2 linked regions of the Arabidopsis thaliana genome follow. The main gene of each other region encodes a partner of the protein of the gene in region 2 in a complex. Each region holds a gene or a part of one and is shown on either strand. Other genes may lie near its edges. The genes, in order: CSN6A and COP9.

Evidence for each region.
Region 1: COP9 (region 2) and CSN6A share a complex: the UniProt entries of both Arabidopsis thaliana proteins name them as parts of the CSN complex.

The regions. Positions count from the first base shown.
Region 1 is NC_003076.8:22,780,582-22,788,984, forward strand, and holds CSN6A (COP9 signalosome subunit 6A), read right to left. Parts: upstream 5,025-8,403; 5' UTR 4,950-5,024; coding exon 4,652-4,949; intron 4,563-4,651; coding exon 4,474-4,562; intron 4,388-4,473; coding exon 4,294-4,387; intron 4,095-4,293; coding exon 4,033-4,094; intron 3,914-4,032; coding exon 3,835-3,913; intron 3,754-3,834; coding exon 3,661-3,753; intron 3,528-3,660; coding exon 3,427-3,527; intron 3,335-3,426; coding exon 3,279-3,334; intron 3,118-3,278; coding exon 3,036-3,117; 3' UTR 2,803-3,035; downstream 1-2,802. Other genes in the region: WRKY2 (WRKY DNA-binding protein 2), read left to right, coding at 235-639, 717-1,672, 1,748-1,906, 2,013-2,556; PEX5 (peroxin 5), read left to right, coding at 6,074-6,193, 6,479-6,607, 6,704-6,836, 7,187-7,380, 7,843-8,094. UniProt on the Arabidopsis thaliana protein: Component of the COP9 signalosome complex (CSN), a complex involved in various cellular and developmental processes such as photomorphogenesis and auxin and jasmonate responses.
Region 2 is NC_003075.7:8,130,434-8,138,314, forward strand, and holds COP9 (COP9 signalosome, subunit CSN8), read right to left. Parts: upstream 4,556-7,881; 5' UTR 4,435-4,555; coding exon 4,351-4,434; intron 4,243-4,350; coding exon 4,163-4,242; intron 3,789-4,162; coding exon 3,607-3,788; intron 3,099-3,606; coding exon 2,991-3,098; intron 2,756-2,990; coding exon 2,616-2,755; 3' UTR 2,447-2,615; downstream 1-2,446. Other genes in the region: AT4G14120 (uncharacterized protein), read left to right, coding at 4,752-5,118, 5,257-5,465, 5,566-5,814, 5,904-5,997, 6,192-6,379; XTH15 (xyloglucan endotransglucosylase/hydrolase 15), read right to left, coding at 6,728-7,127, 7,206-7,399, 7,488-7,763. UniProt on the Arabidopsis thaliana protein: Component of the COP9 signalosome complex (CSN), a complex involved in various cellular and developmental processes such as photomorphogenesis and auxin and jasmonate responses.

The sequences.
Region 1 (8,403 bases), on a different chromosome or scaffold from region 2:
TCTTTTGTCTGAATGAATTATTTTATATATTTTTTGTCCACTTTGAAATAAAAAAGTTTTAAACTTTGAGAAACTTAAGCTCACTGGTTTAGTGACACTTGTCTCTAATCATCGTTGTGTTTAGCTAGATTATTGTTTTTTTGGTAGTAATCTGAAGTTTTGTGATTCTTTATCATATTTTCAGGAGTTTCATCACAGTTTGATCAGAGATTCAGCCAAATTCTTGGATACTAAATGGCTGGTTTTGATGAAAATGTTGCTGTGATGGGAGAATGGGTGCCTCGTAGTCCTAGTCCCGGGACACTTTTCTCCTCTGCTATTGGAGAAGAGAAGAGCTCGAAACGTGTTCTTGAAAGAGAGTTATCTTTGAATCATGGTCAAGTTATTGGTTTAGAAGAAGACACTAGTAGTAATCATAACAAGGATTCTTCACAAAGCAATGTTTTTCGAGGTGGTCTCAGTGAAAGAATTGCTGCAAGAGCTGGATTTAATGCTCCAAGGTTGAACACTGAGAATATCCGCACCAACACCGACTTTTCCATTGACTCTAACCTTCGATCTCCTTGCTTAACCATCTCTTCTCCTGGCCTTAGCCCTGCAACACTCTTGGAATCTCCTGTTTTCCTTTCTAACCCATTGGTAAGCTACAAGTTGGTTTGCTTTCTTTCGATGTTATTATGGAGCTATTTTTTCTGAATATCTCGGTGACCTTGCAGGCTCAACCTTCTCCAACTACCGGGAAATTTCCATTTCTTCCTGGTGTTAATGGTAATGCATTGTCTTCTGAGAAAGCGAAAGACGAGTTCTTTGATGATATTGGAGCATCATTCAGCTTCCATCCTGTTTCAAGATCATCTTCCTCTTTCTTCCAAGGCACAACAGAGATGATGTCAGTTGATTATGGTAACTACAACAATAGATCTTCTTCTCATCAATCCGCAGAAGAAGTAAAACCTGGCTCTGAAAACATAGAAAGCTCCAATCTTTATGGGATTGAAACTGACAATCAAAACGGGCAGAACAAGACATCTGATGTCACTACAAACACCAGTCTTGAAACCGTGGATCATCAAGAGGAAGAAGAAGAGCAAAGACGCGGTGATTCGATGGCTGGTGGTGCGCCTGCAGAGGATGGATATAACTGGAGGAAATACGGACAAAAGTTGGTCAAAGGAAGTGAGTATCCGCGAAGCTATTACAAGTGCACAAACCCGAATTGTCAGGTGAAGAAGAAAGTTGAGAGATCAAGGGAAGGTCACATCACAGAGATTATATACAAAGGAGCTCATAATCATCTTAAACCTCCACCTAATCGCCGCTCAGGGATGCAAGTAGATGGAACTGAACAAGTTGAACAACAACAACAACAGAGAGATTCTGCTGCAACGTGGGTTAGTTGTAATAACACTCAACAACAAGGTGGAAGCAATGAGAACAATGTCGAAGAGGGATCTACGAGATTCGAGTATGGAAACCAATCTGGATCAATTCAAGCTCAAACCGGAGGTCAATACGAGTCAGGTGATCCTGTGGTTGTGGTTGATGCTTCTTCAACATTCTCTAATGATGAAGATGAAGATGATCGAGGGACACATGGAAGTGTTTCTTTGGGTTACGATGGAGGAGGAGGAGGTGGGGGAGGAGAAGGAGATGAATCAGAGTCGAAAAGAAGGTTTGTTTTAGCAATCGAAACACCGAATCCTCGATGACTCAGTAAACGAGACTCAAAAACTTTTTGATTTTACAGGAAACTAGAAGCTTTTGCAGCAGAGATGAGTGGATCAACAAGAGCCATACGTGAGCCAAGAGTTGTTGTGCAGACAACGAGTGATGTTGACATTCTTGATGATGGTTATCGCTGGCGAAAATATGGTCAGAAAGTTGTCAAAGGCAATCCAAATCCAAGGTTCTTTATAATCCCCTCCTCTGTTTTGGTCTGGTTCTGTTTATATGTTTATCGGCAATCACAAGACCAATTCTTTTTTTATAACGTTTTCATAATGTTTTTCTAGGAGTTATTACAAATGCACAGCTCCAGGATGTACAGTGAGGAAACATGTTGAAAGAGCTTCTCATGATCTCAAATCCGTTATAACAACTTACGAAGGCAAACATAACCATGACGTCCCCGCTGCACGCAACAGCAGCCACGGAGGCGGTGGTGATAGTGGTAACGGTAACAGCGGCGGTTCAGCCGCAGTTTCTCACCATTACCACAACGGTCATCACTCAGAGCCGCCACGTGGGAGATTCGACAGACAAGTCACAACTAACAATCAGTCTCCTTTTAGCCGTCCCTTTAGCTTTCAGCCACATTTGGGTCCTCCTTCTGGTTTCTCCTTCGGTTTAGGACAAACCGGTTTGGTTAATCTTTCAATGCCTGGTTTAGCGTATGGTCAAGGGAAAATGCCGGGTTTGCCTCACCCGTATATGACACAACCGGTTGGGATGAGTGAAGCAATGATGCAGAGAGGGATGGAACCAAAGGTTGAACCGGTTTCAGATTCAGGACAATCGGTATATAACCAGATCATGAGTAGATTACCTCAGATTTGAAATTTACTCTTCTTCTTCTTCTTCTGCATTTGGTCACTCCTTATAATAACTTTTAATTTCTGCTTCTTCTTCTTCTTTCATTTATTGGTTTCAAACTTTGGGGAAGGTAAAGGCTGTTTTATTGTTCATTCCTTGGTTTTGTCTTCTTTTTTACTGGTTCTTTATCTTATATTGAAATCAACAAAGAAGAAAAAAGTGAGTGTTGTGTAGCAATACTGCAATTGCTAACTGGAGACTGATGTGGATGTAACTAGAGAGACTGATAGAATCAAACCTTAAAATCTTTTTACTAACAATAGAAACTTGTTCAAGATCAAACAAGAGCTTTGATAGATAAGCAGATGTTCTTATAGATATAGAAACAATGAAGAGGATAAAGTCTTGCCGTCTGAGTTATAGATTCTCACAGAGGCAATGTTAAAAATGGTTTCAGGAACCAAGAGAAGATCTTTAGAACTAGAATCGCTGGAAAGGATCTTTTACATGAATGCAGTTCTTCCACCTCTTCGAGTGTTTCTGTCATATGCGGTGTTGAATTTGTCGACCATCTCGTTCATGTTGCTGCAGATTGAGCAAACAAAATTATTAACTGATATAACAGAATCCACCAGCCCGGTGAAAACCGTATCTTTCACAGTTCCTAAAGAACCACTAGTTAAAGAGCATTCGCTAGCCTATATACTTGCTTTCAAATACTTTAGAATGTTGCATTAGGTACAAACCTGGAACAATTTGTAATCATCGCTAGGTAAGTTATTAGTAATTTGTCGTTGTACTCCTGCAAAAAGAAAAAATGCCAGCATAAGTTGCGAAATATCTCAGACAATAAGCTACACTGAAAAGAATCAAGTGCAGATCTAACTAACTCACCATCAAGAAATTATCTTGAAATCTCTCTGATTCCATGGCAGGCAATCTTCTTAGCAGGCTAGATACTTGTCTCAGAACTGAGTTGTCACAAGATTTATCACCTACACACATAAATGAGTTGGCAGATAAATTATTACACTTACACAACTTTGACTATCTTCAGCTAGAATCCTGGACTGGTAAACATGAAACCACGGTGATAAGAATCGGAACTTGGGAAAGAACAGAATATACCTTTCTGCATTGCAGCAAGATTTTGGTAAAGCACTCTGATTCTGCTATTAAGCATCTTGATGGCACTATGTATACCAGTAAGATGAGCAGCCACTGCATATGAACGAATAATCAGCCAAAAACAGTAAGACTCAGGAAGTGGAGTATGATATGTATTAGTGACATAAGGCTCACACTGGGTTGCTGCTGAGCCTCCGTCAGATGGTTTAAGATGTGCAACATGATCAACTGATATCCGTTCAGCTTCAACTGTCTACATTGTATAACACCTCAAAATCTTAGTCAATGTACACTTTCATAACATAGATTAAATTGCAGAATGTTTGACAAAAAAAAAAAAAATTATTTGCAGAATCAAACTTAAGCACAGACCTCGATTGTGTAGCTTGTATGAGCGAAAATTAGCTGCGGGATTCCATCAATGACATGCAATTCTTCAAGTAATGAAGATCAATCAATGAAACAAAGAGAAAAGTTAGGATCTTGTAAAACAATCTGACCTAAATCTGGAAGTCAATAAAGATAAAGACTTGGGAAGATATCTAGAAACTCTGAACTACGCATATACCTATACTAACATGCTAACATATCAGAATGTACCCACAGAACCATATGACATTATAAGAAGCATACCACTTTCATAAATAGTCACTGGAAGATCCTTCTGTGTGTGATTGATAGCAGGGTTTAAAAGCACATAAACAGGAGATTCATTGATATCCATCAACTGTCACCAAGAGCAGACACAAAAACCACACTTTTAGAGACCAAATCTCAATTATACAAAAATACTAGAGAGAGCATTGGACTCACAGCTTTATGGATATGCATATCAGATTCCTCAGCATCACTTCCCGTAGAGTACCATCCCAGAATATAGAAATCAGGGAACACCTTCTTATCTAATAAACAATAAAACCAGATAAAAGTTCAAACTTTAATTTACGATTGCATCAATAGTTGAGAATAAAAAGAGTGAGCTTTAGCTTACAGAGCTCTTGCTTCTTCTCGAGGAAAGATCTATCAAGGGTTTGAGTAGAAGGATCATATAAAAGCTCGAAACTGTTGAATATCTCAACAGTACGACCTCTCTGGACACCGATCACACATCCGTAAACCCTAGGGTTTTGCTGGAACATTGCTTCGCCGTTGTTTGAGCCATGGCCGCTTGCGCAGATTGAAGCAGGAGGATTGAGCTGAGTTTTGACCCTAGTGTAGTGATCCGATATGTTGACGATTACCAAAGGATGTAGCTTGAAGGTTAAACCGCTTGATGACGAAGGTGCCATTGTCGATCTCTCTCTCCTTTGATGAATTCTTTGGTTTTTGGGTTTTTAGTTTTTTTATGAAGATTTTTTTTATTTAAATCAATGTGGATTCGGATCCTAGATCGGGTCTTCCGGGTCAACTATATGGATATTAGTTTTTTCTGTATGGGCCGAGCGTAGGACTTATATATGCGGTTGGGCCTCATGACTTGTTTTTCCAATTACATTTTTTCATTTTGGAAACTAATTATATTAATTAACAAACGAAAATAAGATAAACCAAACGATTGAGACTCATAAAATCAGATATCTGAAGTTGACAAAAAATGTACTAGAAATTTGAAAACAGACAACATTCATCAAATTTTTCAATATGAAAGTTCAATAGTTCAGTGGTTAGACTAAAGGTTATAATTTTTTCCACAAAATGTTTGATTTCTAGTGTGTAAATTCTTGCAAGTTAATGAAAGGAAAAAAAAATCTAGAGATGCCTAGCATATTGTAACTATTGTTGATGTAGATGAATTTTTTTTTTTTTTTTAGTTATTGATGAAATTAGTGAAGTCATGTTGGTCGTCCAAATGTGTGATATGAGTACAAGAGTAGAATCTACCTTCGTTTGTAACGCATTGCACAATCAATCAAGAAATATAACTAAACCCAGCAAAAATCAAGCAATATAATTTATTTATCTTTGGTATGATCAAGCAAATATAATTCAACACTAATAGGAAACTACAAAATTCAAAAGTGGCAGCAAATCGGACAAAAAGATAAAACATATCTTGATAAAGAAAGATAAAAAAAAACTATATTCACAACAATTCATTTTTAATTACGGATACTGTAAAAAACGGTTTTTTCACAAAAATAAATAACTAAACAAAAATGTGTTGGTGAGCCTAAAAATGTGTGTGGTGTGGATAATATATAAATATTAATTACCAAAATACTATCAAAAAATTTAATAATTTCTTACGAAGCTGTGACCAAACACAACAAACAAAAAAAACACCGCCACGAGACGAGCCAAACTAAAGATTAGGATTTGGGAGGTTGATGATCAATTCCGGACAACGGAGGAAACCATACTGATAGATTCAACGACGGTGATTGCGGCGGAGGAGTAGAAACCCGTTGGAAACATGGCGATGAGAGACCTTGTTAACGGCGGAGCCGCTTGTGCCGTTCCTGGTTCGTCTTCTTCTTCTAATCCTCTCGGAGCTCTCACCAACGCTTTACTTGGTTCGTCTTCCAAAACCCAGGTTAGCTTCCTGATTCCTTTTTGATCGAAACAGTGTTGACATTTGAAGTCTCCTGATTCCATTCTTCGCCTTTTCCTTGGTTCTCCTGGAACTAAGAAGTCGAATTAGATCTCATTTTTCGTTGGGTTTTGTTATTTGCTTGCCAAGTTTCGATTTTTCTTTCCGTAGTGTTAGGGTTTTAGACGTTCTTCGATTATGTCAAGTGATTTGGCTGACAATTGTTTAAAGGTTTAAAATTTCCTGAGAATTTGAAGAAATGTTGATGATTGGTGATTTGTTGTGCAGGAAAGGCTCAAGGAGATACCTAATGCAAACCGGTCAGGTCCTCGGCCACAATTTTACTCTGAAGACCAACAGATAAGGTCACTTCCTGGTTCTGAGTTAGATCAGCCACTTCTGCAACCGGGTGCTCAGGTTAATGTTGTGGAAAGTTTTGGTTTTACAATGGTAGTATTGACTCTGATTATCTAGCCTCTGTGATGGCTGATGGGTTTGCAATTTTTACATTAGGGGTCAGAGTTCTTCCGTGGTTTTCGCTCTGTTGATCAGAATGGTTTGGGTGCAGCTTGGGATGAGGTACAGCAAGGTGGACCTATGCCTCCAATGGGACCTATGTTTGAGCCAGTTCAGCCTACATTTGAAGGTTTGTGATTTGATCTATACCACTTTTATTTAATCCCGGATACAAAACGGTTAGATGTAGTGGTTTTGATATTGAATAAAAGGTAGTATATATTTTCACATATTCATCTTGAATCGAGAAGTACATAACATTATTTTTGTAGGAAGAGAAGTTAACACTGAAAGTGTTAGTTAGTAATTTAGTATAGCGACATGAAATAAATAGTGTGGTCATTTCTTTCCATGAGTCCTATTTCTCCTGAATGACACGTTGAATATTCATAGCTCTGTCTTAGTTATATAGCCTAATGTCGAGTGAGGCATTTTTCGTTTGCTTGCTTGATTAGTTTTTCCATTGCTTATATATTGCAGGACCCCCACAGAGAGTTTTATCAAACTTTCTGCATTCATTTGTTGAGAGTAGCCGTGGTGGTATTCCATTTCGTCCAGCACCTGTTCCAGTTCTAGGATTGTCACAAAGTGACAAACAATGTATACGTGATCGTAGTAGCATAATGGCCCGGCATTTTTTTGCCGATAGGGGAGAGGAATTTATTAATTCTCAGGTTTGCCATTTATCTGATAGTGTTCTGTAGCTGCAACATTGTGTTATATGCTTTCAACTTAGGTTTTAAGGGTCGAGTATATACTTAATATTTTGGTGTTATATCATTCATGCCCATTGCCCTTTTGAAATCAAGATCTATTCAATTATATAACGAAGTGTAATTACAAGAAAGTTCAGGTCCACTCTCCTTCATCTTGAGTTTAAATCAAAATGTAACATTTTGGAATGCAACGAGGTAGCACTGTCACTGTCATATATCACAATCATCTGTGGGTCAGGGCTTTTGTTTGGGAATTATAGCTGTTGTTTTACTTGGTAATTGTTCCTATCTAGTATGGATTTCTCGAGACCATGCCAGCTGTGCAGTATAGTTAAGCCTTTTGTTTGTTGCCGATGGCCTAAGCCGTTTTCTCTTCTCCATGTCGTTGGCTGAATATTTTGTTCGGCATTGTTTTTCAAGGTAAACGCATTATTGTCATCTTTAGATATTGATGATGGGATACAAGCTCGAGGTCATGTTCCCGGGAGATTTCGGGAGCTAGATGATTACTGGAATGAGTCTCAAGCTGTTGTGAAACCTAATTTACATCCTGCTGACAATTGGGCGGCTGAATTTAACCAACATGGGATGGATCATGGTGGTCCTGATTCATGGGTCCAGTCTTTTGAGCAACAACATGGTGTGAATGGGTGGGCTACTGAGTTCGAGCAGGTAACTAGCATAAATAGCTATATGATAGAAACTTTTTCCTTCAGTTGTTTGAAACTTCTCTTTGATTGCCCATCCCAAACATATGTTTATAAGCTTTCAATGAGTATCAAAGACATTATGAGGGCATTTATTTTGGTAGTGTAGACTTTGATTTCGATAGTCACTAGGGCATAGTTGTTCACAAGCCTGAATCTGTTGTGACTTTTTTTATGCTGTATTAGTCATCAGTGTTTGAGTCGCATTTGATATCCCAACAGCTTGGCTTTCTGATAATTTATCATGTTCTTCTGAAAATATTTGGCGCCTCAT
Region 2 (7,881 bases):
TTGAAATGATAATGTTAATGTGTGTTAAATTGCTCAATGTAATATCATTGTTGTATAAACTTTGTTTTGAAATATAATATATTTTATATTTTAATAATTTTAATTTTAATTTTAATGTATTTTAATTATATGGATATATTTAATATAATTGAATTGAATATAGGGTAATATTAGTAGATAACCAAATAAAACATACAAATTAAGAAACTAGCAGAGAGAAAGTTTTTTGTTACAAAATAACCATGGACCCACGTTGTCGGAAAAAAGGAAATAACAAAGCTACCCTTCATTTGTTGTAAGATGAACAGTAAACGAAACACATCCGTGTAATTTTTCAAAATAGCATGTAACATTAAAATTTCACATGTTATATTTAGTTTAAAAACATGCTATTTCAAAAAACGTTATGAATTTTTAAGAAAAAACATTATTATGAAATTCTTTTACATGAACAGAATCTTAAAAAATAAAAATTATATGTGATTTTAATAAAAACCATGTATTACTAAAAAATAAGAATATATTTTTAAAGAAATCACGTGTGATCTTAATAAAAAACGTGTATTACTACAAAATATCATGATAAAAAGAGATATTAAACTGAATAGAATGTTTTTTCCAAAAAATATCATGTGTTTTTTACAAATACTATGTAATAAGAGAAAATAACAAGATAAAAAGAGGATATTATGTTATCGCCTGTATTTCGGAAAAATAACATGTTACAAAGGACATTTACGTAATTACACGTGTTCTCCAACATGTTTCCGAGAAGATACTGTGACTCAAGGTTAGTTTGTACATTCTTTTCAAATCTATAGTCATTTATTATAAATACTCTTGAATATAACTATCTATAAAATATATAAATTATAAGGACGAAAATGAAATAGAAAATTTTTTTGAGGGTGTGACCTTTAAAAAATAAGGGTTTGAGGGTTTATTGGAGTTCAAAAAACCTTCAAATTTGAGGGTTTAAGTGTTTGTTGGAGATACTCTTAGTCTCTAGTGGTGGACTCAAAAAACGGGAATCCATATATTTTATATCAACAAAAGATAAAAAAAAAAAATACAGATTCACACATTACATAGACAGTAAAACAGATATATTATATAAAAACTCATAAACAAACATATTTGCAGATTTAAAATGAAATTTTGAACGACCTGAAGAAGCTTCATGGCCAGTGTTTCAGTTTTTTTTCATCAGAAGAGTTTTCAAGGTTTCAACCAGAGAATCAACCCTCAAATCTGGGATGGTGCCTGAAGAATCGTCATCACTAGAGTCTGAAAACTGCGACATGTGCTCTCGCCGAATTAGAGACCTACGAATGTCGCCAAAACCCTAGAAACCCACAAATGTCGCCAAAACCCTAGACTTTTAGTTTATGGCTTTCTTTTTAGCTTGTTTTTGGGCTTTTTATGGAGAAGTTTGTTTTTCTTTCAACCAAAATGCATGTCATTTGATTTTATATAATTGATTTTCAATTTGACATGTTCACTTTTTTAAAACAGACATTTTAGAGTTTCTTAAACTTGAATTTGTTACTATTATATTCAATTACAAATGATTTGGGACCAACAAGTCTTCCTTCTCAGTCTTTAGATTGGTGGGAAAATCTAAACTGAGAGGTGAGATTTTTTTCACTCGCGCAGAGGATGCATGTATCTTCTTCTTCACAAGTCACAAAGCGTAAATGATTTTAACAAAAGGATCAGTCTTGAGAAATGAGACTATCTAGGCTTTAGGTTTTTGATATAACAGAGTAAAATATGAACAAAAAACACACGGGATAGGGAATATGAACAAATTATCGATTCACCAAAACCTATCGTAAACATAAAAGATTAATACAAATTTATGTTTACATTTGAGTATTTCTAACTATTACTCCTACTAATATTTGTTTTTTAAAATTTGTATTAATCTTTTGAAGAGTTTATTTCTAATATTTCTACAGTATCAATTTTTTTTTCTTTTTGTTTTCTAGACTTAATAATTATTTACTTTTTATATTTTTCATTATTTTTAAAAGGATGTTGATTATAACTACAAAAACTGCTTTTCACATAAACCAGTTTTAAAAATTATAAAAGAATAGTAAAATCTCTCAATAAATTTAAAATTGTTCATTTATCGATAATTTAATAATAAATTAAGAATTATTAATCTCTGATAACCCCAGCTTGTCATCTACTAGATCGACAAATGGCTCCTATTCTTCTAGAGTACCTCTCCGGTTTGAAGATTATCATCTTTTATCTCAGAGATTGGCTAGCTTGTTATAGTCGCTAAAATGATCTTCTCTTGTTTCTGCCTAATTTTGTTCTGAAAACGTGTGTTATTTAGGCTGTGTCCTTTTTGGCTCATAATATTGACTTCATCTTTTGTTTGTTTCAGTTCGTCTTTTGTGTAAACTGATCTTTTAAATGTTTGTTTTAGTTCGCCTGTTGGTGTAAACTGATCTTATAAGAGTAAAATTGGTAGGAGTTATTCATCATATACTCAAAGAGTCAAGATATGTTGCAACTTAGAATCAGTCATTGTGAAATCTCTCAAAAACGAATTCTGTTCTTAGAATTTCACTATCTTAATAGGAGATCGGCACTTAGTTTTAATGTTCAAGGTGGAACACATACTCCGTCAAGCGTTGTAGCTTCGATGAATCCACCTTTTGCTCTCTTTTAACAGCTTGTTTCTTCACACTCGCCATTTGAGAAGCTGCATCCACTGTCCATCCATTCTCTACAACATCTGTGTATATATCCAGCAATAAAGAAAACAATTATACTGTTAATTCTGATTCCGTAACATATATGGTTGTCATAAGATTCATGCCTACAATAACACTAAGCTAAGACATTGCCACAAACTCTTCGACATTTTTCAAAAGTATCAATATAAGAATCAATTCAGTAGAATTCAATAGAAATGTGAAATGAGGTACTTAATCTTTTGTAAGCAAAGGAAATTGCAGAAAGAAGCTTACAAGTTGTGGCATCATCCTCCGTCATCCCTAGGAAAAGAGCTAAATCATGGATGGTAATTGTGGAGTAGGCAGACAACAAAAGCTGAAACATCCTTTTTGTGTAAAGATCTACAACAAAACCAATTCAGAAATAGAATTAGAATCTGATGGAAAGTGACCCATAAAGGTCAGGTGTTGAACAATTGATGTGGAAAAAGGTACAACTTCACAAAATTCAGATCAACGTTTAGACATTTGGTTGGAAAAGTCTGTCAACTGCTTACTCGTTCCTCCTGTGTGAGTCTACCTACCTCTCTCTCAGTTAGACCACAGAAGCAACTACTTTCTAATGAAGAAGTGATAAGGCACATACATTGATGAAATTTGATTCAAATTCGAGTTCCAATAGTTCAATGATAAGATGAAAGGTGGTTCTGTGCATAACAGAAATCCTAAACTAGGCCTCACAAGTTAAAACAATAAAACAACTATTCGATCTCAATATGTATATCAAAGCTCAAAACCTAAAGAGGGATATGAAGTAATAAAAGTACACAACTACATAAGCAATCAACAAGCTTAGTTCAAGAAACCAATTCATACTAGCTAAGAAGTCATAAACAGAGAAAAAATTTACCTGAGAAGGCAGCAACCATATCTTTAGCTTCTTGACTCCAATCATAACCCCGAATAGCTTCATATACACCTGCATAGTCGTGTGTCCACAGCTTCTGACCAATCCCCCAAGCTGCAACAACTTCAGGCTTCCTCTCCTTGATAGCTGTAGGTATCCTTTTCCAGAGGAAACGTGCGCTATCACTGCAGTATTTCCAAACAAGCACAGCAAAACATCAAAACCAAATCCATAGTCAAGAAGGCACAACCATAACTCAATAGTTTCAACATACTACACTCACTATCAATACACAAAGGAAAAAAATGTTAAATGGGTCTCAACAACTACTAACTTGTGTCAAGTTTTAATTTTTCAAATCACTGGATAGAAACAAGGTAATGTAAAAAGCAGACTTTAGACCTTAGATTCAACCTAGGACCTAGCAATCGAAGTAGTAAGAACAACTTTGACGCGCTAAAATTCACAAGAGTTCAACGAAACAATCTCTAATTTCATAAAGGAACTAACTTTAGGTTCACAACGCAAACAAATACATCAAAGAAGAAAATAAACTCACCAATCGTCAACGTAAAAGTAACCCAGAAGATGGATTGCGTAAGGCCAATCATCATGATATTCAATTCCTTCGGAAGCAACCTATAAAAAAAATTAAGAAGCGATAAATCGAACGATTAACACCACAAAATCCACTTCACAAAACCCTAATGAACATCAGAAACAACGACAGCGAGAGAAATTACGAACCTGAAGCATGAGAGTATCGCAGATATCGGCGATTTTGTCAAAGGATTTGGCGGCCAAAGCTTCCTTAACAGGCGAAAGATCCATGACTTGTTTCGATTGCACTACTCTCGAAGCTTTTGCGAAGATGACAATTCTACTCCCAAAACCACTCCAGGGAAAAGAAAAATAAATTCTGTGAGATTTACAGGTTTTAATAATCTTTTCAATACGGTTTACTTAAACCGACCAAAAAATTGACCAAACACAAGAGGATAAATGGGCCAAGCCCACTAAGCCTTAGTTTCCCGCCAAACATCATAAAGCCACCCGGTCTGTTCCCGCCAAAATAACAAACAGTCTCTCTCACTCTCACACACACTCTCTCTCTCTCTCTGTAGCTCTCTCTTGGCGCGAGTTCTACCATGGCCGAATCAGATCCTATATTGAGGAAGAAGATGCGATTTTCGTCTTCTTCAGTTCGTTATACTACCTCTCAGAACCTTATGGCAAGCAAATTACGAACTCAGAGCAATCGTTCCTCCGTTCGATTTGCATCCCCATTGTCTCACATTGTCACGGATCTTCGTCACCATCATGCGTCACCGATCAAAGGGAAAATTGTTACTCAAATGCCCCGAACTTGTTCTCGTGTCACCGTGAAGAATCTGTGTCTCAGACGCGTATTCTCTCCTAGTTCCATCTCTAGTGATTGGGACTTTCATGTGAAAGGGGGAAATCTAACCAAGGAGCTAAATGTGGAATCTCCTTGCGATACTCCGAATTCTAATGGTAATTCTTATTTTAAGGTCTTTTTCTTGTACAAGTTTTTCTAAGAAAATTTAGGAGAATGTTGATATAATGAAGGTGGAATTAGGAAATTTCAATATCTGTTTAGAAACTATAATGATTACACAATGGTGAAAACAGTTATGAGAGAAGGAAGCAAATATCTTGTTGATGGATTAGTGGCTACTGGAGGTGATTTAGAAGTAGTGGAATGCTCACAAACGACGCCACCGGATTTAGGAATGTTCACCGGTGAGCTTTCTTTGGTGAAAAATGAAGCAGGTTCTATCAATCAAGAGATCAGTGAGGTCTCTGGGAAGAAAGTTGGTACCAATCTCGGCAGCAAAGTGGTATGTTTTTTACTCATGGTTTTATAGCAAATGATGCGTTTAAACTACAATATTGGCTTTTCGTTGGTTGCTTAATTTTCTTCTTGTGATATGTATACAGATTCGTCATCCGGAAAAGATTTTCAAGAACCCTGGCTCTGTGAGCTATAGAAGAATGCTTCCTTACTTGATGGAAGCTGCAGATGTTACCCGAGATGGTGATGCAAAAGATCCTAAGGATGAAAGAGGTGAATTGATGGCAGCAAATTACCGACTTCCTGAAACCGTATCTGCCAATAGCTTTGTTAAAGCTCATGGAAACAATAGCCCTTTCAAGAAGATGACTTCATCCAGTGGCAACAAAATTTCTGTATGATCTGTTTTTTTTTAAGAAGCTGCAGTCTTGTTCCTTATTTAAGAATCTGTTTTTGACATTTTCCCTGTTGTGACATGAAACAGCTGTGCTGCCGGCGCAAGCTATTTAAAGTGCCAGGTTCTGTAAATTACAGAAGAATGCTTTCATATCTCAAAGAGAACTCAGAGGATAATCATGGTTAGTCTCTTTATATTCATGTTTAGCACACGGTATAATTCAATGTCAGTACTAGTCAGATAATAATACTGTCTTCTGTGGCTTGGTAAATTGTAAGATAGTATAAATGCATGATATTAGCTTGTATTGAAATTATAAAGTCAGAATTGGTAGCCTTAGAAATTGATGTCTCTTTTCTTTCATTGTTCTTCTAGGAACTCCTGAAACCACGCATACAGATCCTCAGAAGAATATAGAGGAGAATGCTTCAGCTATTGAGGCTAAAGGGGCATCAAATGAAGTTACAGATTTAGATACATGCTCTAACAACGTTGAGACGCCACTAGCTGATCCAAAGAATGAGCAAGAAACTCAACTTTTGTTAGCTGAGTTTAGCTGTTAGTGTTAATCAGTTAGTAACAAAGTCATGTATATAGGGTTTAAGCGTATTTGACTTGTTTACACAGAGCTTGTTCATCTAGGTACTTGTAGTTGTAGGTCAAAGAACTGAAACGAAAACATTAGAGGTACCTATGCATTAGACTTGTTGATTCTTATGTCTCCATATTTTTCTGATTGTCCTTTATTGGTAAGTGAAAGACAATAGTAGTCTCTTTAAAGGTTTAATTTCAGTTGTTTTATATTTTGAAACCAGGAATGCTTTATTGATCTTGACAATGTACAATGGAATAACAGAGGAATTTAAGAATTGCATCAAACAAGCAGAGAAATATGAGGTAATATGTGTTCATCAGACTCTGGACTTCTTGCATTCTGGAGGGAATCCACGAGGGAACCTTTTGAGATCAGAGCAATAATTATAGATCATGAAGTATTTCTGAACCCATCTGAGTCTCCTCCTGCCATAAGCATTGAGCTCGGTTGCCACTTGCAATTTACCATCACCAAAAGAACTCTTGAATTTAGGGTCACATCCTGAAGAGGCTGTGCAAGCCGCAGCGTTGAATCCTCTGTAGTAAGCTGTGAAAGGAGCCTTGGACCAGTCAGTCTTGACTAGACCACCTCTCGTGGCCCAATCGTCTGCATTCCACAGGCTAGAGTAGATCCTCATGGGTTGACTCTTTGGGAAAGGAACGCCGAGCTTCTCTGCATTGTTGAACACTCTAATGGGTAAATTGTCCACCAAGAATCTGCAGAGACAAGAACAAGAGAGTCAAGATCTACGTCTTTCACTTATTGTTAGAGAAAATAGATCGATGGATGTTTACATGATGTGTTGGGGTCTCCAGACAATGGAGTAAGTGTGGAAGTTCTTGGTTGGGTCGAACCAGAGATAAAACTGTTGCTCTCTGTCTCCTTTCCCTTGAGCAAAGACATTGGTGTGAAGAACATAAGGCTTCCCTGTCTCGTTACCTAGAAACTCAAAGTCTATCTCGTCATGTGTTGCTCCTTGTGAAGACAACTGCAAACATGTACGTTCAAACAAATTTAGAAAAGAGTCTCTTCAGTTTTAGCAACATTATGAGTGAGTGTGAGTTTGAAAACGCTACGTAGTAAGCAGTGACGGTGCCGGCCGAGTTTCCGGCGACAAGTTTGAGCTGCATATCGATCCGACCGAACAAATACTCTTTTTTGGATTTGAAACCTGACCCGGAAACCTGGTCCAGCGACAAAGACAGCATATTTCCTCCGTTGAAGATTTTGCCTCTGTGGTCACCCCAAGTGAGGTCAAACTCGTCGAAGAAGTTGCTTGCGTAGGCCGAACCGAACAATGTCACAAGAAGAACAGTCGCCACGATGGTGGTGAGGCTCGAACTTGGACCCATTTGGGTTTGGTTGATAGAAATGAAAGTTGTGGGGGTGAGTTTGGAAACTAAAAGAAGATGAGAGCTTTGTGTTTTGGTGTGAGATGAGTTTTAAGAAGGAGATATGCATATATATAGG